4 linked regions of the Drosophila melanogaster genome follow. The protein of the gene in region 3 interacts with the protein of the main gene of each other region in a pairwise test. Each region holds a gene or a part of one and is shown on either strand. Other genes may lie near its edges.

What was found.
Region 1: the proteins of indra (region 3) and mri interact in a two-hybrid assay, tested with the Drosophila melanogaster proteins (one large-scale study listed by BioGRID).
Region 2: the proteins of indra (region 3) and cad interact in a two-hybrid assay, tested with the Drosophila melanogaster proteins (one large-scale study listed by BioGRID).
Region 4: the proteins of indra (region 3) and Aef1 interact in a two-hybrid assay, tested with the Drosophila melanogaster proteins (one large-scale study listed by BioGRID).

What each region holds. Positions count from the first base shown.
Region 1 is NT_037436.4:197,870-202,652, reverse strand, and holds mri (mrityu), read right to left. Parts: upstream 2,480-4,783; 5' UTR 2,182-2,479; coding exon 1,593-2,181; intron 1,483-1,592; coding exon 1,285-1,482; intron 1,213-1,284; coding exon 895-1,212; intron 837-894; coding exon 622-836; 3' UTR 501-621; downstream 1-500. Other genes in the region: Gk1 (glycerol kinase 1), read left to right, coding at 1-164, 224-439; rno (rhinoceros), read left to right, coding at 4,066-4,517, 4,579-4,773.
Region 2 is NT_033779.5:20,769,044-20,774,044, reverse strand, and holds the start of cad (caudal), read right to left. Parts: upstream 3,315-5,001; 5' UTR 2,938-3,314; coding exon 2,136-2,937; intron 1-2,135. UniProt on the Drosophila melanogaster protein: Caudal (cad) is one of a number of transcription factors controlling segmentation of the embryo.
Region 3 is NT_037436.4:1,338,793-1,344,532, forward strand, and holds indra (indra), read right to left. Parts: upstream 3,612-5,740; 5' UTR 3,600-3,611; coding exon 3,580-3,599; exon of another isoform or gene 3,278-3,579; coding exon 3,136-3,277; intron 3,070-3,135; coding exon 1,030-3,069; 3' UTR 668-1,029; downstream 1-667. Other genes in the region: Hmbs (hydroxymethylbilane synthase), read left to right, coding at 1-378; Ptp61F (protein tyrosine phosphatase 61F), read right to left, coding at 5,536-5,737. UniProt on the Drosophila melanogaster protein: Required for rDNA copy number maintenance and non-random sister chromatid segregation (NRSS) following unequal sister chromatid exchange. Binds ribosomal DNA (rDNA) preferentially binding to intergenic spacers (IGS) regions on both X and Y chromosomes.
Region 4 is NT_037436.4:21,431,505-21,439,577, reverse strand, and holds Aef1 (adult enhancer factor 1), read right to left. Parts: upstream 6,151-8,073; 5' UTR 5,877-6,150; intron 5,706-5,876; exon of another isoform or gene 5,531-5,705; intron 4,554-5,530; 5' UTR 4,359-4,553; coding exon 3,569-4,358; intron 3,506-3,568; coding exon 3,369-3,505; coding exon of another isoform or gene 2,931-3,368; 3' UTR 939-2,930; downstream 1-938. Other genes in the region: CG5664 (uncharacterized protein), read left to right, coding at 1-659; CG33288 (uncharacterized protein), read right to left, coding at 6,585-6,712, 6,774-8,073. UniProt on the Drosophila melanogaster protein: Transcriptional repressor that binds specifically to fat body-specific enhancers, namely the adult ADH enhancer (AAE) and the enhancer that controls yolk protein gene expression.

The sequences.
Region 1 (4,783 bases), 1.1 Mb from region 3:
AGGTCCGTGATATTCTCGATTCGATGCACAAGGACTGCAAGATTCCACTGGCCAAGCTTATGGTAGACGGGGGCATGACTGTGAATAATCTGTTCCTGCAGCTTCAATCCGACCTAGTAGGAATTCAAGTACTCCGGGCGAAGATCGCAGAGACAACAGCGCTGGTTAGTACTTTAACTTGTGATGTAAATGCAGCTTCAATAATGCTTCAAAAATGCTTTAGGGAGCTGCAATGGCAGCCTACAAAGCCGTTGAAAACCGATACCAAATGGAGGCTCCACTCTCTAAATCTGGCCCCCGAGAAGCCATAAAGCCATCGATCAGTGCCACCGATCGCAACCTGCGCTACCAAAAGTGGAAAATGGCTATCGATCGTTCACTGAACTGGGAGACTTCGACGCTTCCACAGGGCGAACGGGAGGCCTTTGACGGAGCGTGATCACAGCTAATGTCTGGTAACGTTCATGTTCTTCTATTCGTAAATCAATTGCTTGGTTTTTCGTATTCGAAATTTCCATTTATTACATATACATATAAAAATGTTAATTAAAAACGTAAAGTGTTTTTCTGTGCGCTGTGATGCTCTGGCAGTGTGTTCCGACTACCAGCCGGTCAGTTGATCTACATATTTTCATCAACTATTCCGACGGCAACAGCGATCGCTGCCTGGTCCAACTCGTTGAGCATTACAACGCCCCCGGCCGCCTCGTCGACGGCTACCACGACTGCTGGACCAGCCACGCCTATAGCTGCGGGTGCGACGGCCATACCGGCAGCGAGCTCAGCGTTATTGGGATGCGGATTAGCCACTGCTATAGGGGGAATCGGATTTCCACCTGAAAACGAATTTGGGCTTTAAGGGAGCTGTTACTCTCCGTTTCGAGCCTTACGCACTTGCGTCCAATTCCAGTGGCGGATCTGCATTTGCTTCCGCTAGATTCGTTACAGACTTGGATTTTACACATTGGAAATCAACATGGCGACTCTTTGCTTCCTCCTTCTCCCAGGACATGTGGATGAAAGGTCGCTGCACATAGCTGTAGATGACTTCAGCCCGTCCACCGGGACGCCTTCGGATCTTCTCTTTGTGGGTGGGGTATCCCTCTATGCCACAGCGTATCTTCTTCAGACCGCGATCCTTCATCACCTGTTTGGCCACATCGCGGTTCTCGATGTACTTGAAGAATCGGTGCATGGCAGTGCTGTGCACGGCTGCGTTAGAAATGTTAGTGTTGCTTCCACTTCCGTGATACTAATGCAAACACATTTTTTAAATACACTCACTCTGACAATACTCCTCGCCCATCTGAGGCGGAAACTCTTCATCCCACTCGACCATATCGTCTTCAAGGAGCACCACAACGTGACACTCTCGATCCCCGCGCTGCGCCGAGGCCACCATGAGGGGCAGAATTAGGTCCTCAAGAAAGAGTTCAAATTGTTGTCGCGCTCCTTCGTTGCTAAGCTCGTGGAGAAGGCCTCCTTTATGTCAAACATAACAGAGGGCATGTTACAAGGAAAGAGACGGAAAACAAGCAGAGGTGGCCACAACTAAGGTTCGCCCTGGCAGGAATAGTTCGCGTTATACTCACTTAGGTTCTGGCAGCGCACCGTGGTTGCGTCGAAGGGAATGAGCAGATAATCACAGGCTTCTTTTAGTTCCGGTACCGAAACAGTGGGCGGGCAGCGGATAACACCGCTTTTGTAGTACTCCAGAATGGCTCTGAACACTAAGTGCGAAATGCCGTCGGCAACGTCGTACTCGCCGCGCTCGTTGGTATGAGCGAACTGGAAGCCGGAGCCGAACATCGTGCCAAGCATTGTGGTGGGATGTGCTGTAAGCAGTGATTGCTCCACCGTGAAGCGCACACCGTCCACCAGCATGGTGATCCTTTCGGGAGGGAGCGGCAGGCGGCCCATTCCGGAACCAGTTGCCTGGCAGCTGGGAGATGCTCCGCAAGGGGATTTTATGTCGTGCTTGGGCACAGCACCTCCGCCTGACATATTGTGCTGCGGACGGTTCAGCCGGCTGCGCTCCTTCAGGATGCGCCTCCTCCGCTCCTCGGCTGTTTCGAGAACTTCCTCGCTGCTGTCGCTACTGTACGTGTCCTGCTTCTGGGCAAGGGGCGCCTTGCTACTGATATTGCTACTACTACTGTTCAGACTTGGAGTGTTTGACATGTTTGTTGCGTTTGATGAGCCACTCTTCAAATATTCCAGTACAACACCGTTCCACCGACTTTTCGAGAGAGACAAAGACAATCTGGCAGAGGGCGGTCAAATTAGCGAGGCTCCGTTGAAAAAAAGCCTGCTTATCGCTGCATCAGAGGTCCGATTAAATAGTATTCACGTTACCTTTGTGCGACGCGACTTTTTCCTTTTTACATATAGTTATAAATATACATATTTTTTCTTGTTGGTGCTGGAGATGGGCTCCTGGGTGCGCTCAGTCGATAGTTTTCCTCTGTAATCACAATAACATATTTTTAACCGATATTTATCTTCAATCGCGATGTTTGTTTTCAGCTTATCGGGTTTTTTTTAACGAATAAAAAATTCCTCTCTAAAAAAATAAAAAGATTGTAATTTCATCATTTCGACATTGTTTGTTACATAATTATTAACTTCTATTAAGTTAAGAAAATCTATAATATTTAGAGGTAATAATAAGAAAATTCTTAATTAACATATCTTAACTTAATGGAAATAACTTTTTTTTTCAAATACAAATTAATATGAAAATTCTGTGGAAATTAATTAAATGTTGTTAAAACAAAATACAGCGTTGGGCCGAATGCAACTCTGTATATACCCAAGCTGTGTATCGATACCGACCACCGACTAAATGCACTCGATAGTTTAAATTTGCAACCGTTCATCATGGCGATCTGAGAAAAATAATTTTTGCTCAAAAATAAAATAAATAATCAAAAGAATTGTAATTCCTGCGAACGCAAATGCGATTTTGGGAAACGTGAGTTTGATACGGACGCTTCACGAAATGCGAAGACTGTGAGCGGTCTTCGGTCAGTAACAAGTGCTTGGCGTGTGTGTCTGCGGCGGCAAAAAACCCAAATGTAAAATATATAACAAAATCCCAACTCCCCCAAGAATGGGCAGTGCGAAAGTGGCGCCCTGAGTGGGCGTGTCGCGTGCGGAAGCGCTAGCGACGAGCAGAGTGGCTGTCTAGGTTTGCGGATAGCAATAACAAATAAGTTGTTATAATAAAAGTGTAAAAAAAAGTGCAAAAACTTTGATTGCTTCTGAGTAGTGAAGTGTCGGAGGGGTATGCTGGGTGCCGTGTATAAGCTGGCGGATGCAACACGAACGCCACCTGCTTGCCTCCTGCTTGCACTCACGCGCATAGTAAGCGCGCCCTTAAACGAGCGTGCTATGTGCGAGCGGGAGGGCGCCTGTGGGTTTTGCACCAGTCACCTATTGGCAGCTTGAACGTTTTTCTATATTTTTTGTGTATTTTCGGAAAGCATAGAAAATGTGGACACTTACTGGGAACGCTCCTAATATAAGCGAATAACCCACAAACATATGCCTTCTCTCCCACCAGACTAGCGAATGCTCGTCGAGAATCCAAACCAGTGAGCCAAACGCCAAAGAAAAACTTGCAAAAGTCTGTGGATAAACAACGAACAATAACAAAAGGCAGCAAGCGGAAGGTGGCAGTGGAAGTGGACTAACTCGCCCGTGGAGAAGTGCGGAGCACACAGGACTGCAAAGTGGCGTCGCTACTGGATATTAGGGCTGGGGCAGCAGCGGCGTCCATGTCCACGGGGCACAAAGGGTGGACCACCAAGAATCACGACCGCACCACATCCAGGAGAGCGCAGCAGCAGCAGCCGGTGTGGTGTCGCCAACTGTGGCCTTAAGCATGTAGTAAGTAAATTTGGTTAGTAAATAAATCGCGTGAAATACGTATTGAAGCTGCTTTTGCCTTCTTACTTCTAGGTCTTGCAGCAAAGAACCCGTTCTCTAACAAGCACAAGACACAAGGGACAAGGTACCAATCGAAGCAAAAACACACAAATATCCAATCAACACCAATGAAAAATGTCACAAAGAGGTAAGCGCGGTAATCAGCAGCATCACCAGTCGCACCATCCGCCGCCGCAACAGCATCAGCGCAAGGATGTTGAGCCGCAGCCGCCGCCCACCAAGCGGCGCAAAGGTAGGCCACCTAATGGAGCCACTACGGCAGCAGTAGCTGAAGTGACTGGATCGGGTCCAGCTACAGGATCGGAGCGTGTGCCAGTTCTGCCTTTGTGCAAAAGCAAACATGAAGAGCCAGGGGCGGAAGCGGGGGGAGGAGGACAAGGAAGAGCCGCGGCAGGCGCTACCAGCACTAGCAAATCGAAGTCAACGAAACTGGCAAAGTCGGCAAGCAAGTGCAAGTCGCAGGGGGCGAGTTCTAGTAGCTCCTGGCAGGCGCGGTCTGTAGCGGACATCAAGATGTCGAGCATCTACAATCGAAGCTCAACGGAAGCTCCAGCTGAACTTTACCGGTATTAACAGACCAGCAAACCAATTAGAAACGATTCAATAATATTCAAATTTTAATTGCAGCAAGGATCTCATTAGCGCAATGAAATTGCCAGACTCTGAGCCGTTGGCCAACTACGAGTATTTAATAGTAACAGACCCATGGAAGCAGGAATGGGAAAAGGGTGTGCAAGTGCCCGTTAACCCAGACTCCCTTCCTGAGCCATGCGTCTATGTTCTGCCCGAGCCTGTTGTGTCTCCAGCGCACGACTTTAAGCTGTAAGTTAAT
Region 2 (5,001 bases), on a different chromosome or scaffold from region 3:
GAACTATCCTTTTCTGAACTATGGACACTTAAATTTCTTGCCGTTTAATAATGATTGCATAGATTTGATCGTAAATGTCGCTATTTAGTTTTTATTGGAAGTAATACTAATTTTTATTGGTTTACGACCCTATATTGTTTTAATCAATATGCCCGTCGCAAACGCAGCGGAATCGCTTATCAACAACGCTTTTGACGTTTTAGATAACACGCAAAGAACTCTTTTTTTTTTTTTTTTTGTGGCCACGTTTCCATATCACTCGGCACATTATTGAAGCAACAGAAAATAGAACTCGCAGCCCCATGGGTTGGGTGGGGTTTTCAGGACTTATTGACAGGGCGGGCGTTTATTTGATTCCCCACGCTAGCTAATCTAATCGAAAAACCCGCCCGAACCACCAGCCATTGAAACAAAAGTACACGGCATCTGCATCCAGCGACAATCGTGGTTGCCGTTTTATTGCCACACCCCGAAAGCTGAAGTGGGCCTTCGACGTGCCCTGCCGCCACATGCCGCCACATGCCGCGCAGACAACGGAAAATGGACCTTTTATAATTCTATCAAAAATCACGAAGTGTTAGTCACAGCCCCCCTCTTCTCTTCTGTTGGAAAAGGCAGATTACTAATTATTACTCGATTTGGCGAGACCATCAATTCAAAGAAAATGCCAGAGAGATAATACCTGAGCAAAGTGTTGGCAAAAGGTGCTGCTGATCGCTCATAGTGGCTGTAAATAATATCTAACTTTATTTTTATATAATATTTATTCTTACTTAAATATTTGTGCTTTTTAGGCAAATGAAATACGGCAAGAATTACAATCAGTCGCGCGTCAGAAAGGTGACATTCAGACAGCGGAGGCTAAAGGGGGTTTTGAATAATAATAAATAAGGCAAACTTGAGTCGCCTTGTCGGCTTGATCAGCTGGATTAGCGGCCATAAACGCTAATTGCATGCCAACAGATTTTATGGGCTTAATGGATATCGGCGTTATTGTCGATATCGTCGATATCGTCGTCTTCATTTTCCCCTTCTTGACATGCGCCCGGGTCATAAATCGTGAACAAATGTGTGAGTGGTTTATTCCTTCTCATGTTTGAGATCGCTGCACTGCCATCTGAATTGCCTTTGCTTGTTTTTCCAGAGGTGTAGGAAAACACAGCAAACAAAACGCAAGAAATCCACATAATCACAGAAAATTTGCATGAACTGAGAGAAGAGAGTCGAATTGGGTATTATTCACTTATTATTCAGAATATTCACTATTTTTAGAAAATAGTGAAACCTTCAATTAGACACTCCACATAATGCTAATTGCTGTGAAATAGGTTCCGAACTCCCTAACTTTCCTAAGCCTTTACAGTCCAGTCCTCTACTCTGATGGACTTTCCATCAAATGCTGTCTGGTTATTGGTAAGTTGATCAAACCATTTTCAAATGCTTATAGTTGTTAAGTTGATTTACGATACAAAATTAGTCAATGGAATCGGAATCGAGACGGAGACAGAGTGGAGCAAACAAACAGAAACACTCATGTGGACGGTGAACACGGGGTGGCCATAAATCAAGGCGTCGGATCGGGGATCTCGCGACCCCAACTGAATATCATAAAAGTGAAGCTTGAACAGAATTTGATTTTTATGAGCTAATTGGCCATTTGGACTTGGATGCGCGCCAGGCAAACGGATTCTTATAAAAGCCCATATATGTACCGTGAGAGATGGACAGGGAAAAGCGCGAACAGCACGAGCTTGGCGGGAAGACAATGCAGTGCATTATGTGCTGGGCAATATGGAATCTTCGGGTTCGGAATGTAGCCAGGCGGATGCGGGAGAAACCCAAGCGCAGGGTACGCGGAATCGAAGGTCAGTGGAATGACTAAGTAGCTGAATACACAAAAATTCGGGTAATCGAGGTCTTTCGGACTAAAAGCCTTCGGTGAGTAAGATCTTATTTCACATTCGATTAAAAAAAAAAAACTCATACAAGCTAGTGACAATGGCAAGCATAGACCTTAACTTTGCAGTAAAAGCAGGTTATTAGCCTTACTCATAAAGTTATGAAGTAACCGATCATACCCCCTCATAAAACACTAAATCTGTATTTAATATATTCTTGGGTCTCTAAGGACTCACCTGGTTGTGGTTGTGCTGGATAGGCGGGCTTCTTCATCCAGTCGAAGTATGGCGGCTTCGATGGCGATGTCCTGTTGTTGTTGCTCACCGAATTGTTATTGTTGTTGTTGTTATGGGTGGATGGGCTATTGTTGTTGTTGTTGTTGTTGTTGTTGTTGTTGGCGACGGCACTCAAATGGTGTGCCAAGTGATGATGCGGCGACGAGGCAGAAGTCGGCGCCCCCGGGCTAGAGATTTCCGAGCCCGAAACGGTAATCGGTGGCGACGGCAGACCTTCGGCGATGTGCTGCTGATGGTTGGGTGGTGCGGAACCTGGTCCTCCATCGGTGGCCCCGCCAACACCACCGCCACCGCCTGCTCCTCCGACGCCGATGCTGCTGTTGGTCTCGTTGAGCTGGGGCGCACCCGGTGCACCACCGCTACTGCTGCTCCCGGAACTGGCGGAACTGCTGGAGGCATGGGCGTGATGATGGTGGTGCTGCTGCATCAGCTGGTGGGCCGACGTGGGCACATTCTGAACGAAGTTATCCGCCGTGCTCGAGGCGGGTGAGTGCCACTCCCCGGCAGAGGCCGCCGCCGCCGAGTGGAACATGTGATGGGAGTTGTAGTACATCTGGTGGGCAGCGGCCGCGTGGTGGGCGGCATGCGAGGAGTCCACATCGCCCAGGAACTGGTGGTTCGGCGGCGTGTGGTGGTAGTTGGGCGTCCAGTTCCATGGCTGGCCCGCCGCTGAGGCATAGGCCAAATTGGCGGCACTGTGCTTTTGTGTGTAGGGCAGTGTGTTGTAGTAGTGCGAAACCATTTTGAGGTTAGATTAGGTGCGCTTTCTCCGAAGATAGTCCCAGTGCTCGGTCCGGTGTCCAATAATCCGGCGTTAATCTCTAAGTCTTATCACTTTGATGGCCAATATGTTTTAGTTGCACATTTTCTGGAGTTTCAGTTTGGGTTATAATGGATATATTTTGCTTTGTCAATCTTTACAGTTATCACTGGCTGGTGATGTGTTTTTTGGGAGCACAGTAACATACGACCGAGATATCGATAATATTTCGAAACGCTATTTTTCAGCACTCACTCACGAGATGGATTTTTGTTTTGCAGGGCTAATCTACTAATTTGAAATGTTATTCCGTGCGTGGCGACGTCAACTCAGTATGCAGGTCGAACACGTACTGAAACGTAGAGCAAGACTCGACTGATAAAAAACTCAAAGCAGTGGAAAATCAGATAAACAGGCAGAGAGGCTCAAAAAAAACAACCACCGCAGTCGGCACTCACTAGTTGTCTCTTTCTAGCGCACGAGCAGTGCCTTTACTTGGGCGTTTTTAACCCTCATTTCCGTTGCTCGGTCGAAATTCAAGATGGCCTGAGTGCTTGACTACCGCTATCTCCGTCTGTCTGGTGCTCCGTCTCTTTCGCACCGGTCTGCGATGGCTGGCAGGCAGGTGGCCACGCCCCATTGAGCCAGGTATGCAGTTTGTCGTAATATCTTGGCCAAGAAAACCCCTTTTCCTTTATGGCCCGCTTTCGATTTGTATGTACTTTAATTGCAATTGCCGTTGGCTAATTAAGTAATTGCGGAGATGCGTGTGTATTATGCAATTAGTGGCTGTAAAATTATGTTGCCACGGTCGTAATAGTCGCGATATATGTACCTCTATCTGGGGAATAATCAATGTTTTATCCTCCGGATTTTATTCTCCATATCCATATACCGTGTTTGATCTGCACACACTTGATGTCCAGACTTTTGGTGTTTGCCAAGCAATCGCTGTTTATATGGGCGCCTCGATATTGTCAAAGCACTATTGTTCGGTTCTAGTTGTAAAGCTAATGCCATAATTGACATGTAAGCAGCGATAAAAATTCGCAGGGAACTCAAATATAGCGGAAGAAGTCTGGCATTGATAAGGTGCAAGATGTGATACAAGGGGCTTATGTAAAAAAAAAAGATGGTACTAAAAATGAGGTGATCTTTTGACGGATCTATCATTTAATGTAAATCGAAAGTTTCCAGCTTCATTACCAAAAATATGACTAATCAATTTAAATTCCCATGAGAACTTATTTTCGATCAAACTTCGCTGGAAGTTTAACAAATGGGTGGAATTGAAATATCGATTATTATTTCATAACGACTTTAGCAAAAGTGTTACCCATTTCGTGAAGCAAAAGGCAAAATTGGCCCAATACGGTAAAGAATTAATAATATCAATAAACCCATTTACAAAACCTCCTCACTAACATAAAAACTAATAATTGAACGCAATTTGAATAATAATAAATAAATTGATTTATTTATAATTTATGACAGACACGCGTGTGATCATAAGATTGCAAACGCGCCTAATTATTATAATATATTGGCAATATAACAAATTCCAAATATTCATATTGTGGCATTAATTATAAAACTATACATGTAATATACCCTAAGATTAGAATGTGAAATCATTGTCCAATTATTTTCAAACTATCTGACTATAATTTTTCCTTACACAAAGGAATATAATATATTCATTGGAATAAGGTATAGTTGGTTAAACATATTCCTGCCTCACAAATTCCAGGTCAGCTAACACCATTCTTATTAATTTTTCGCAAGAATTTCGATACCACACAGCTACTCCCAATTGTAATCCCTAAAAAGAACGCTAAGCTCGCGCCGATTGAGTAATCCCGAGATTCCAGAAATCCTCTCTAAATCTGTAAAAAATAAATTCATTGATTGCCGCGATGTTCGATGCTCGGTATGGGATCGTAAAACTGCAAACTGCAAATGTCGCGTCAAATAATTAGAAGTGAATGCAGCTGACACAATGGAGGATAACCGACATATCCCCGAAAAGGACTCGGCGGAACACGG
Region 3 (5,740 bases):
AGCGCTGGCGATGAAGTGGATAATGTTGCAACTTCCTCCAAGTGTCCCTTTGCGGCCATGCATCAGGGCAGCGGTCTTGAGGCGCCGGCTAAGGACAACGGAAACGCAGCCACAGCCAAGTGCCCGTTCCTGCAGAAAACGGTCCAAATGTTCGACTACGCCGACGAGGAGCAGCCGACGCCGCAGCACTCGGTGCTCATTGAGGATGTGGAAAACCTGTTCTGCGGTCTCTACCAGCACGCCTGTCACAGTCGGGGCATCTACGAGAAGGCCAACCAGCTGGGCAAGACGCTGGCGGAGGACCTGATCAAGCGCGGCGCCCTCGACGTGATGAAGGTGGCCCAGGCAGAGATTCACGGCAAAGTGGCGTCGTCTTGAGCCCGTCATCAATATCATCGTTTACATTAAGTAGAAAAGTGTAACTAGACAAAATGTTTTTCATTTCCGCCTCGTTGTTGAACTCCCGTGGAGAACTCATGCTTCCCCTGATTTAACATCGGTATTGTATTCAATCCTTCTGCTCTCCCCGGCGAATGCATCGTTAATGGTTGGTTTCCGCGTAAACGTTATTTTAGTTTTGTTTTTGTTTCGGGAATATGACAAATAAATGTATAAGTGAACTCATATTGTGTCATTTTTTCTCTCCACTGATTGAAACAAGCAATTTCGTAGCTTTTTGCCATTTTTTATTAACAGTTCATCGCTCAGTACAAATATGTTTATTACATTCAAGCTAATTTATATACTCTTGGTGAGTACAAGTGGTGTAACCAATGCGGTTATAATAAAGTCTTAATATACAAATTAAACTTATCTTTTGAATTGAACTTAATAATAGTTAAAAATGTATGAAGTAACCTTGTTATAAATTGCAGTTTTCATCGACTTTTATCAACTTTATATAGACCCTTTCAAAGTTAGCCATTGAAAATTCAAAGAATTATACTTAACATAGCAATAAGCTAACGTAAAACTACATTGGTCAAGAGAATGAAATGAAAAACAAAAATAAAAGGGAGTCTAGTGCAACTAGTGGCGCTTGCGCAGGTGCGAGGATAGGAAGTTGGCCTCCGTGAAGACCTTCTTGCAATTGGCTACGCCGCATGGAAGTCCACCTTCGGAACCACAGTTCGAGAAGTGAGCCACGTAATCCATTTGGTTCTGGTAGACTTCCTTGCATAGGGTGCACTGTAGTTTGGCGGCGTGCTTTTTCTCCATGTGCGAGTCCAAGCGTTGACGCGATTTGACGAACTTCCCGCACCGGTCGCAGCTGAGGGTCGACTCGTCGGCTGTTGAGTCACCAATGGACTCCAGGCGAGCCTTTTTGTGCGGCCGCACGTTGTAGTTGATTTCTTCCACTATGTCTACATCAGATGAGGGGAGCGTGTCCTCAGATTTGTCTTGTTTTTTTCGTTTTTCTGACTTTGCAGGCGAATTGCCATTGGTTGTGGACACAGACAGATCTACGTGACTGGTCTTCTTTGTCTTTTTAGCTGGCGACCGAGGTGCAATCATGCCTCCATCGACCTGGTGCTGAATGTTGTTCCTGGATCGTATAATCTTTTCTTCTGCGGGTCCTTCATCATCCTCCGCGGTGTTGTCAGTCTTAAAAGCGTCCACAATTTCCACAACCTCATCCTCTTCTTGCAGAATCTTTCGGTTGGTGAACTTTGCGGCTTTAGTAGGGCTTTGTTGTGATTTCTTAGGTCCTTCAACCTTCTCGGCCGTGTTTTCAATCTGAGTCGTACCCAGAATGTCTACGTCCTCATCCTCGTCCTGCAGAATCTTTCGCTTGCTGGAGTTCGGCGCTTCAGCACCGTCGGCATGTAGAGTCATGTGCGTTTTCAGCGACTGTTTGGTAGCCAAACTCTTCTCGCAGACGTGGCACTTGAAAACCTTTGGCTTGTCGATGCTGTGGACGGTCTTCATGTGCTCCTGCATCTGCTTGGCGGTCATCAGCTCACAGTCGCAGATCTCGCACTGAAAATTATTCGAATCCGCCCTGGGAGTGGAGGCGCTGGATCCATTGATGGCAAATGTATATTCCGAGTCGATCACGTTCTCTAACATCCTTTTCTTCATTAATGACTCATTTAGCGCTTTAAAGGAGGCGATTTTGGTAGCCTGGGTCTGGTCTGCGTCCTCACTATCTGTGCCCTTTTTGTTGTTCACTTGGTCGTCGATTTCGTCAACCACTTTGGTTTCAACATTACATTTGATCTCTGTCTTTTTCTCTTTGGACTTTTTTTCTTTTGGCTTCTTCCTTTGACTCACAGCATTGGTCTCCTTTGCCTTTGCGTCAATTTTATTCTTGGCCCCTGACTTAGCCTCTTTTTCCTTGCTTTCCTTCGCCTTAGTCTTAGCCTCGCTTTCAAAAGTGCGTGAGTGAGTGTCCCTTAAATGATTTTTCAAAGTCTTAAGCACTCCAAAAGTCTTAATACACAAGGTACAGGGGTATATGCGTGGTCTTTGAAGACCGTGCTCCTTCTGCAGATGCTCCTTGTACGGTTTGGGAAACTTTGCGTGAAATTCGCACTCTGGACACTGAAAGTTATTTGTGTTAATGGTGATAGGACCTTTATCCGAGTCCTCCTCTTCCTCGCTCTCGGTCAGTACTTCGATGGCATCGTTGCCGCCGTTGCCAAAGAGATTAAGGAAAGCCTTTTTAGTAGACGACACCTCTTTGGCGGGCGTCAGCTTAACCGAATCGTTAAGATTATCCTCGAAGAGTCGAGATATCTGCTTTTTAGGGGTCTTATCGAGTTTCTTGGGCGAAGCACTAATGATCTCGATTTCTGTATTAGTATTAGCTCCATTCACAAAGCTTGGCGGGAAAGCTGCTATGGACTTGCTGCGCTGACGGAGGGTGGTGTTCTTTTTTGGCACCTTAACCGCCTTCTTATCGCTTTCCTGTGTCGATGGCTCCTCTATTTCCGCTACCTTAGTCTTCTTGGCGGGCTGCTCCTGTACCCTGTCCACCGTCTCGCGGACCTTCTCGATTAGTGCCGCGCTGGACATGAATGTGGAGGTGCAGACGAAGCATATCTTGATGGGCAAGGATGATGGGATCTGAAATGGGATGGGATGATTTAGATGACGAGAAGGGAAATCAGAATGCCGCCATTTCCAACTCACGCTTCTGTGGGTGATGGTCTCCAGTACGTCTGTTATTTTCCTGCCCAGGAACACCTTCTGACCTGAAAAAACACTCTTGGACCCTTGGCTTGTGCCGCAATGGTCGCATCGCACCTCTTTTTGCACCTTGGTCATATTTTCACTAAGTTTTCCAGCAAAAACAAAAACAGAAATCAAACAACGTGCGCACGTTTTTTTTTTTGCGGGGCTACAGTTACCAAACACTGCTATCTATGTTAATCAACTGCAGTGCTGCCAGACCGAGTCACCAAAATATACCACATAGTGTGCTTATATATTATGGTTGCACGTTAAAAGAAGCAACTGCAGAACGTTCGCAGAACGAATCTTAATCTTAATAATTTTTGCATCAAATTTAGAAAGAGTGTAGAAAACAGTTTTTAAACTACCTATAATGGCAGTAGCAACTTTAAAAAATATTACCAAAGCAGTATATTGCGCATTCCGGTCACACTAAGTTACATTAACATTCTGTTAATGCTCACGTCGCGTTATGCAACAGCTTTGCGTGTCGATATATAATCGATAACTCTGAACTTGGTTTCCAATTTAAAAATAGTTTATTTAGGCATTAGAAGCTACAGTAATGCAAAATGATATGTTTAGTTTGTTTCTTTGTGTTGGTGCTGACCTGGATGGGCTGTGCCGTTACTTTGTCTTGGATTTTTTGAGTCGGTTCCCGCGCCTGCAAACAAAGAGATGAAAAATGTTATGAATGACAAGGACATGGCAAGGGAATGCGCCAGGATCAAGCGGTTCGCAGTTTTCATGTCTTAAACGTATAGCTTTATTTGAATACTTTCTCTGCTCCTCCTTTCTCTTTCTCTCATAGGCATAATATTGTATAGTACTGTGTTGTGTTGGATTTGTTTCAGTGTACGGTTGGTGTACTTAGCCGACGTTTAGTTAACTAGGCATTACTAGGTATTGTTCATGTTGTTTCTGTTAAATATACTTAATATAAATATGTATTTCCTTTATTTGTTATCCTCCTGGGCCCATCCGATTTCATATGGATTCATAGTGCCTCGCTTTCGGGGGTGGTTACTTGAATTTTGTTAAAGTGTGGGTTACACATATAAAAAATATTTGCGTCCTCTCACGCTACACGTTTATATAAATATGTTTCTTGGGATTGGGACTGCACACTTACTCTACTGGAAAAACCATTGAATAGTCTTTCGCCTTCTTCGTTCTCTCGTTCTAATACAAAATGGTTTCGCTATGGCAAAACCTGGATTATAATTAAATCATACACCTATACTTCGCTTAGCGACTTAGTAAACCGATTTTAGTTTAATTTGATTTGCAACTAGCCACGTGCAACTAGTCCACGGTCACAATTTGAAAAAAGAATCACTTTATTTTGATTTCAGATCGATCGGGGGCGAGTGTGCGAAATGAACAATTTTGATTATAACACTCCTTAAAAGCGTTAAACGAGATATAGGTGTACATCGAGCTGTTTTGTTTAACCGTAAGTTATTGCTTTAATGGCGCTGAATTTCGATTCATTAATAAAGTGCTCGTTTAAGGGGGGACAGGGTCTTTAATTTTAAACACAACAATTCAAAGTTAGTGGTAGTGGTAGGCGGGAGGCAAAGTAAAATTAAGAGTCGTTTAGGACACTTCGTACAATTCTCCGATTCGGTTCTTTTTGGCACATTGCTGCACTTTATATTTTGCCATGTACTACAACAAGTGGTGGTTTCTCATAATCTTCATAAATAAATATACATAGGTCGTATGCTATAAGAAATTGCTGTACAACAACAAGTGAAGCGTGTAGTGGGTGGTTGTCGGGTGCTTGAAACATTGGTAGTTATGATATTCTTAATATTTTAAGCATAGCGAGCAAGTAGGGTGAGCTTTGCATTTGGTATGGCTCGTTTGGGGCATCTGGTCGGTTATCAATCCATTTTTAGAGTGTAGAAAATAAATTTGATCTAAAATGTCAGTCTATTGCGCAAAATCTACATTTGACGTGATTTCTACCCGATTTTCGTTAGTTTAGTTTAGTTGCTTCTTTTCTTTCATTTGTTTCTTTTGTTTTCCTTCTTGTATTTCGTATATAAAAAATTCCCTAATATTTATGCATCTTGTATCGTTCGTTCAGCTCAATCAATCCGCCATCCGCAATTCGTGTGCGATTGCATGGCGTTGCGATGCGATTCCGTCCGATCTCTGATCCTTTCCGATCCGTTGCACGTCGTCCTTGATTCGTTGCCCGCATTAGATGCCGGGTCAGGCGGACGAGCAGGTGGGGATCGGAAGTCGGAAATCGGGTATCAGGGGAGGAATCGGTCTCCTACGGCAACTAAATACGTCATACAGCTATTGCTACTACTGATCTACGACTACTTAGTGGCTACGGGGCACTTAACCTAGCTTCGTGTATGCGTAGGCGCAGATCACGCCCACCACAACACCAGCGGCAATATATGTGAGTAATGACCTTCGTTTCTTTGCCGCCAGCTGTTTGTCCTCGTTCTCCCGCTGCTTCCGCTTCATGTCGTTGACCTTCTGCTCCAGGCTGGCCTGGTATTCGTTGCGTTTTCGCCGCTTCAGCTCGTTCTCGGGACTG
Region 4 (8,073 bases), about 20 Mb from region 3:
CCTACCTAATGGCTATTCGGCAGTTGGACCCCCCATATCTCCGCTTCGAGTTCACAGACCACTTTTTGAAGCTCTTTTTCTTTCCCAAAAAAACTCATTTTGGACCGGAAAAGGTGGTCGGAGAATTTAGAGCGCGTCAATGGGTAAAGTACAATCTTAAAAGTGAGATTGAGGATGACGATGACGAGCAGTTGTCGCGTGAGGATTACCTAGCATTACTCCTTAGCGCCTTAAAAGACTATGACAAGTGGTTAAATCTTGGAGGCTTTTGGAAGTACCTAATGAGTAAGGAGCTCGTGCAGCCGTTGACTGCGAGGATCAGTCCTGTGGGAAGAGTTGTGCGCGAGGCGCCGAAGGTGTTCAGGCTCGATGCGTTGGAGGAGGAGGTACACACCTGGAAGGAGCGCATGAGCACCAAAGTAATTACAGGTCGGGAAAAGGTGAACCTGCCGGTGGCCAGTATCAATATGGCCAAGATGTGTGTGCGCTATGGCGAGGATGTGAGACAAATGAGAGTTTTGCGACAACTCCTTCAAAACGAAGTTTACAAGGAGGTCGATGTGTCGGACTGGTTAACCTATCTGAACAACTTTCTGAGCTATGAAGAGTCCATGTCTCCAGTAGACTCTGCGTCTTCCTCCTTATTGGGAGGCATATGAGGGCCCAAATACGAAAATATATCTAAGGCTCCATTAAATTTAAGGAATTTCATACCGAAAGTTCAAACTTAATTATTTTAAGCCCGTTAATTAGTATTTATCTAAATGGTTTCAAATAAGAATGCATTTGATTCGTTACCGTTTGTCATAAATTCCGTTTCTGTATTTCTCCATTGCAAATATATATTTATGCTGTAACTAAATACACAATTACGTACACATTTACATATAAATACAGCTACTGCGCATGTACATACATACATTAATAAATATATATGTGTATAATTACATAATATTATCGCGATTTGTTTTTAAGCCTTTTGCTTGTTGGTTTTTTTGCAGTTCCTCATCCTTCTGCCATCTCGATTTGCCTAACGTGTCTTGTCTTTGTTCATTGTATGTCTAAATTCTTTGCAGTTTACATTTTACACACTCAACTATCATTAAAGTAGGCGCTTAAATGCTAATCTCACTACGTCATTTTTATATTAAGTATATGCATACGCTGGGGAGGGTTAGAAAAGCTGGGTGCAGAGCTCAGATGTTACAAAGAGCAGAATCCGATCTGCATCAAATATTAAGCATTCATTTTAGAGCGACCTTTCAAATTCTCTAGGGATCTTAGATCCTGGCGAGGATCTGCATTCAGGGCCTTGAAAAACATAGCACGGATTCAAGCGTTGCTCTTATCATTGCTCTACTAGGTTGGGATTTCGGTTTTTTGTTTCTGCTGTCTTGTCTTTAATTTGTTTAACACTACACATTTATCAACATTTATTTAATATTCATTCCATATAGGCTAGGTTTCTTTGAATGTGTCTCCACTTCCCGGCTTGCAATTGATTCGTATACATTTGGGGACATCCGTGTTTGTTGCGCTTTGAATTCTATAGGAACTTGATACAGGAGTCTTTTCGGTTTGACCCTTGCTGCAGTTTTTAAAGGTATTTAAAGGCGACCGGCGTTTGAAACAAAGGACAGTCGGGATGTGAGGAAACCAAGGGTAACATACATAAATTAAAGGGCTAACATAAAAAGTCACATGTTGTATTTTTAGAAAATATTATTTTCTCTTTTAAAAAGGTTTTCGTTTACAATTTAGTTAAACTCTTTCGCTTTCGCTTTATACATACAAATTGGAGTTGGGCTTTGTACAGAACTTGTTGCTTTACTATCTCATAATCGTAATTAGTTATGAATTAATTAGCGTTACTTTGTGTTTACTTCATTAACTAATATTTAAACGAAGGCTAGCGTGACAGCTTTTGTGTTTCCAAATTATGCCAATGCTGAAATTAAAACTACTAAGACTAATCAATTAAAATTAACAAAACGCTGATTTAAAAACTATGGCTCTCTAGGGACTAAGAGCTAATTAGATAGTTTCGACCACTTAACACTATTAGAATATTTTTCTTTGCCGTTTTCTGTTCAGGATATTTTTTTAAGTTTTGCTGACAAGTTTACGAAGTTAAATAATTAAGCTATTGATTTTATAAACAAATTGTATTTGTGTTAGCCCAGACTAAAACACGCCCTTGCAAGATGGCGAAAAACGTCACCAACTTTGAGTTGTACAACAATTTTTCTTAAGCTTTAAATGCTAAATTAAACAACTTAAAAGTGAGTCGGGTCAACAATTTACAATCTGAAACGGGTTGCACTTTGGGAAATATTTTAATTAAGTTCTTCGTACACGTAATGCTTTTTGCCTTTTGGGTTTAGTTTGCTCTTGCTATTAGCAAACTATTTTCACTCTAGTTAGGGTTAGGTTATTTTATAAGTGAGTAGAGAGGGGTTTAATCTATTTCCGGGGCTGAGAGGGTTGTGAATGTGAGATGGGGTGCGCTGCTATAGAGACAACTCTCTGCAAAGGTCTTTCATCTGGTTTTTAGTTTAGCTTTACTATTATTTTAGTATTTTTGTTTCTGTTTTTGTTTACGGTTTGTGTTATTTTTTTGGGAGCTCTGGGTGCTGGTGTCGGCGCCTTTCGTTTACCTACTTTTGAAGCGTTTGCTATACAATCATCTTGGTAAGTTCTTAGTCACACATTTAAACCTTAACAACAACAACAATGTTCGCTACAATTAAACAACTAACAACAACGTAAGCGTACACACCAAACATGGCTCACTTCTGGCTCGATCGCTGCTCCTCTTTCTGCTCCTGAATTTCCACTACATCCGCATCCACTTCCGACTCATGCTCCTGTTCATCCTCTTCATCCGCATTCTCCTCCTTGAGCATGTACTCGAGGAGCAGCTCATCGACTCATCCCTCGCGTTGCGTTTCCGCCGTCGCTGACGTCGTGGCTGTGCCACCATTCGATGGTGACTCCACCTTGATCACTCCAAGCTGCTGCAGTTCCTCTCGTGTGTGCTGGATGCGACCCACCACAACACCGCCCATGGTCACAAAGCTCCCGTCCGCCGTCACAGCGCCCAATTGCATAGCGCTGGATAAGTCCCCTAGAGCGGCCACATTAAAATGATGGTGCGGCGAGCCATCCTGAATGTGCTGATGCTGCTGGTGATGTTGGGCCACTGTCGTGGCGGAGGGCAACGTGGTTATGGTGACTCCACGCTGATCGATATGCTGCTGCTGCTGCTGGGACGGAGGCGGCGGGTGGTGCTGATGCTGCTGCTGTTGATGGTGGTGCTGGTGTTGCTGCTGCTGATGGTGGTGCGCCGCCAACGGCATTCGTCCTAGTCACCCCTCATCCTCCTCTGTTTTGATCTTAACAGGAACGTAGACTTTGTCCATGACGTGTATTTTTATGTGGTTGTTGAGCGTGCTGGACTGTCGGAACTGCTTCTTGCAGATGACACACTCAAAAGGCTTTTCACCTAAAGAATAAGACACAAATCAGTTTCGGTCAAAATTGTATGGTAGCACACTTCATCACTCACCCGTGTGGATCTTCACATGGTTGGCCAGCGTGCTCAGTTGTCGAAAATGCTTGGGACAAAAGTTGCAGTTATAAGGCTTCTCGCCCGTATGGATCTTCAGATGGTTCGTCAGCGTCGACGATTGACGGAAGGTCTTATCACAAACGTTGCATTTGTAGGGCTTCTCGCCAGTATGGATCTTTACATGGTTGGTCAGTGTGCTTAGCTGTCGAAAGCGACGATCGCAGACGGTGCAGTGGAAAGGTTTCTCCGGCTCGCGGACAGCTCCCCCTACGCCAACGGCAGCGTTGCCCTCTCCGGGATGCTCGCTATGTCCATTGGCCAGGTAATGCTCACTGTGGATCGTTGTCGGACTATGCGTGGTCAGGTGCGTCAGATGTGAAGTTGGTGGCGGCGGTTGCTGTTGTTCCGCCGCAGCAGCTTGGGCTGCTGCAGCTTGGGCAGCTGCCATAGCCGCTGCTTGGGCGGCACTATGCGCCTCCGCCGAGATCCCGCTTAAGTGCATCTGGAAGGGCAAGGGGAGTTCCGTGGGTGGCGGCGGCACAGAGGGTGGTCCGCTCGACTGCTGTTGCTGCTGCTGATGATGTTGCTGCTGCTGTTGCTGTTGTTGTTGCTGCTGCTGTTGAACCGCCGCCATGTGAGCCGGATGCGTGGCCTGGGTGACCGTCTCATTGTTATTATTGTTTGCTATGGTGGTTTGGGGCTGGGCGGCCACTATGACAATGTCGCAGTTACTGCTCATCGCCGTAGCAGCGGCATGGGCATGGGGCAGGCTTTTGATATGCATCATGGACTGCTCTTGCTGGGATTAGGTAGTCTGGATTCGGGATTCGAAGCTGGATTTGAATCTGGTGGAATAGTGGAGGGAGACTGCGGTACCTCGGTGACTTGAACAGAAAGCTGGCTAACAAACTAAGATCGATGCTTCAAAAATGCCACGACATGCTCATCTTGGGCGCTTCTCTGATGTTGTTGCTGCTAGTGCCTGTGTTTGGAGAAGGGAGATTGGGATTAGTTGAGTCGGCGGCTTGGCTTTTTGGTATGCAAAAATATGTGAGGAATTCCCAAAACATACGAAATACCTAACTGCGAAATTATAAATCTAAATTATTCAATAGCTGACACACTTTGATAGCTGGGCTCCCGGCTCCAGCTCCACTTCCTCCCCTTGAAGCCCCCTTTCCATATGGTTCCTATGGTTCTTTGTGTGCCCTTATTAGTGAAACGCATTGAAGCCCATTTTGTGTCCTAACTAGCATATTACTCCTTCGTCTCCTTTAGGCAAGCCTCTCTACATAAATAAGTATTTGGAACTACACGGCTTACATATCCATACATGTTTGTAAGGAGGTAACTGGCTTACTTTACGGTGTGAAACTATGTTTTAAATCATTCAGGTATAATGATTAACGTATTAAGCGTTCAAAGCAATATTCTTGCGAGAGTAAATATTTTCGGGCTTTATAACATTTATTAAAGAGCCATACTAATATTAAACTCACAAACAAACTGTGATGAGTAATTTTTAAATAAGATCCATAACGGATGACCGAATCCTTAAAAGATTTTTATGACTTCGATGGTATGAAAACTTCGAATATACGTCAAAGAGCATAAATTATTAAACATACGATTGATTATGCATTTTGAAACAAAATAAAACGCGCGCTGCTTGCATGCATGTAACTTTTAATATATTTTTTGAACGCTGGTTTTTACGTTCGCCGGACAAGTTACCTGACCCGCCCCCTGCTCACCCACCAGACAAGATAGACACTGAGGCCAACACAACACGCACACACATGGAGCACTCAGGTATCTCTCTTTTTGTGTTGAATTGACAGCGTGTTACTTTCTCGCCAAATTACATGTGTTTTTCTGGCAACTTAAGAACTTAGTGATAACTTTACCAATTGGATAACAATCTCAACGGAGGCGAGATCGACAGGATTCCGAACTGACCTTTTTTGGGCGGGCTTTTTGGGGGATATTTTCCCCTTTTTTCAAAAGCAGTTTTTCCACTAACACGTTGCCTCTAGATCGCCCCTCGCGCTCCCTTCTTCAGCTAAAAGTCACAACCACTTTCAGTCGCACACACGTATGGACATCACTAGCGCACACACGTACACGTACTGTGTAAAAGCTCTTTTGAGGTTAGGATACTTTTAATTTTGGAGCTCTCCGCTCGAAAATGTCCATTGTTTTTCACACGTCTATAAACGCTATTTTTGCCAAATGATTCCAGACGGAATTGGGTATACTGAGTGACACACTTGAACTCTTTTCGGGCGCCCACACATTGACCTACCTTTCCATTTTGTGGCTGTGCTGTGTGGGGCCTTTCAGGTTTAGATTTCCCCCGTTTTACATCATTTTTCGCACTCGATTCGGTTTTTTGGGGGATATGGGCCTTTCGGAGGGTGTTCGCGTATTGCTCTCGCCTATCAGAATCGGGTCCTCACAGCATTATCTGTGGCTGGTTCTTCATTTATAAAAAGCGTATAAACGTTAGAAAAATAGTACAAATATTTCTTTTCTTTTTTTTACTGTTTCGCGTACAAAATAGACGCGAATGAACTAGTGCCAATTGGGGATGGGCGATAGCTATGGGGGACCTGTTACTGATCACGAGTGTGAAGGAATCACGATGACTGCCCCGAACTCAATGGGAAAGTTGGTATAAGAGATCAAATTTGGGAAAATTCTCAGATTTATTTAGGCCAGCACATCTTTATAATTATTTTTTTTCCCACCATATTAATATAAAATCATTTTCTAATGTGACTTCTCGTGAATATCGAATTGCCATCTCTATGCTAAATGAGCTAGTTCCACTGAAGTCATTCACATAGGAATATGTAAGTTTTCTTTCGTTTTTGAGAGGTTTTCCTCCCGCCACAGTACGGTCACACTGCCCGGTGCAGAACTTTTGTATAGGAATTTCGTTTGCATTATTTTTTATTAAATTGTACTTAAAGACCAAATGCAATTGCTCAGAAAAGTGCAGGTGCAAGTTTTATAAAATCGTGCAGACCCGCGAAGCCTGCGACTGATCACCATGTGCCTGCCCATTGGTTAAACTCAGCTCGCTGTTAACTTTGTTTGTGTTTTTGTTGTGACTTCCAGCCGGCGGACGCAGTTCATCTATTTGGAAGGTAAGCAGAATTTAGGTAAGTATATACTGAAGGACTATACTGAAAGGTACCTTCGATCCTGACCGCTTTTTCGTTACGGCACGAGAGCCTGTCCATCACCTGCTTCACGAATCCCTTAGCATCTTCCTCCTTCTGCTGGGCCACAGCTTGAATATGGGAATTTGCCCTCAGTTGCATGGCCCGAATGTCATCCTGCATCGCCTTCTTACTGCGCTCCACCACTGCATCTAGAGGGTCTTCAAAGGTAGTGCTTGGCTCGAAGATGTTGCCATTACCATTGCCATGTCCTGCAGAATTGTGGTTTGAGTTTACAGAGGCCGTTGTTCGTTCATCCTCCTCGTTGGAACCCAACGTTGTGGTGGTCTTTGGTGCCCCCTCTTTGAAGGACAAGTCATCCTCGCCGCGAGGTGTGGAACATGGCGTGGTCTGTGGATCAGCCTCCCTCGCCGCTTTTATCTGAAACAATGAGGAGATGTTTTCCTTGGCGCCCAGTACTTCAGTAGAGATCTTGCTGGTCACCGAATCCATAGCCCTGCCCATCGAATCTTTTGTTTCCGAGGCTGCTTTGACCGCATTACTGCCCGCCTGCTCCACTGCATGCATTGCACTACTTCCTACTTGTTCCACTGCGTGCATTGCATCGCTGGCCAACCGATGGGCACCTTTACCCGCCGCTCCTACTGCTCCTCCCACGGTATCCACGGCTCCTCGAGCTCCAGTAGCCATTCGCTCGCCTACAGCTTCCATGGCATCACGAGCTCCATTTGCTGCATTTTTTACCGCTGTTTGAATCGAGTTACGAGTGGAGTCCATGACATCTATCGCGTCTTCGCCGACTTTGGACACCGCCTCCTCAGAGCTCGTCACAATTTTGTCAACTTGCTCCTCACCACGCTGCATTTTTTGCTCTCCATCTGATTCCAGATCCTCCACGGAGCTCTCCAGTGGTGTATCTGGCATTTGTTCCTCTACCCTGGACGTCACATCCACTCCGTCGTTTATGAACCGTATTTCGTTGATCACTTTGCTGCTGTCCGTTGAGTCCTTCGTTGTGGTTATTTCCACGGCCAGGTGCTCATCGTCTTCCGTGGGCGGTGTTGGTGTGTTCACGTGAATTTTGGCCGTAGGTACTTCCTCCACTGTGTCCAGACTAGAGACCAGTTCGGGAGAAGTCCTCTCCAGATGGTCATGGTCCATGGCAGACTCGTATGAAAAGTTTCGTATAGGCGTCTTTTTTATTGTCTGCGGTGTGCTAGAATTACTGCTCTCGGGATAAGGCGTGCGTGGGCGTAAAAGTGTTTCCTGGCTGCCAGGCACTTTCGGCTTGGGATCAACTAATTCCATATCGTG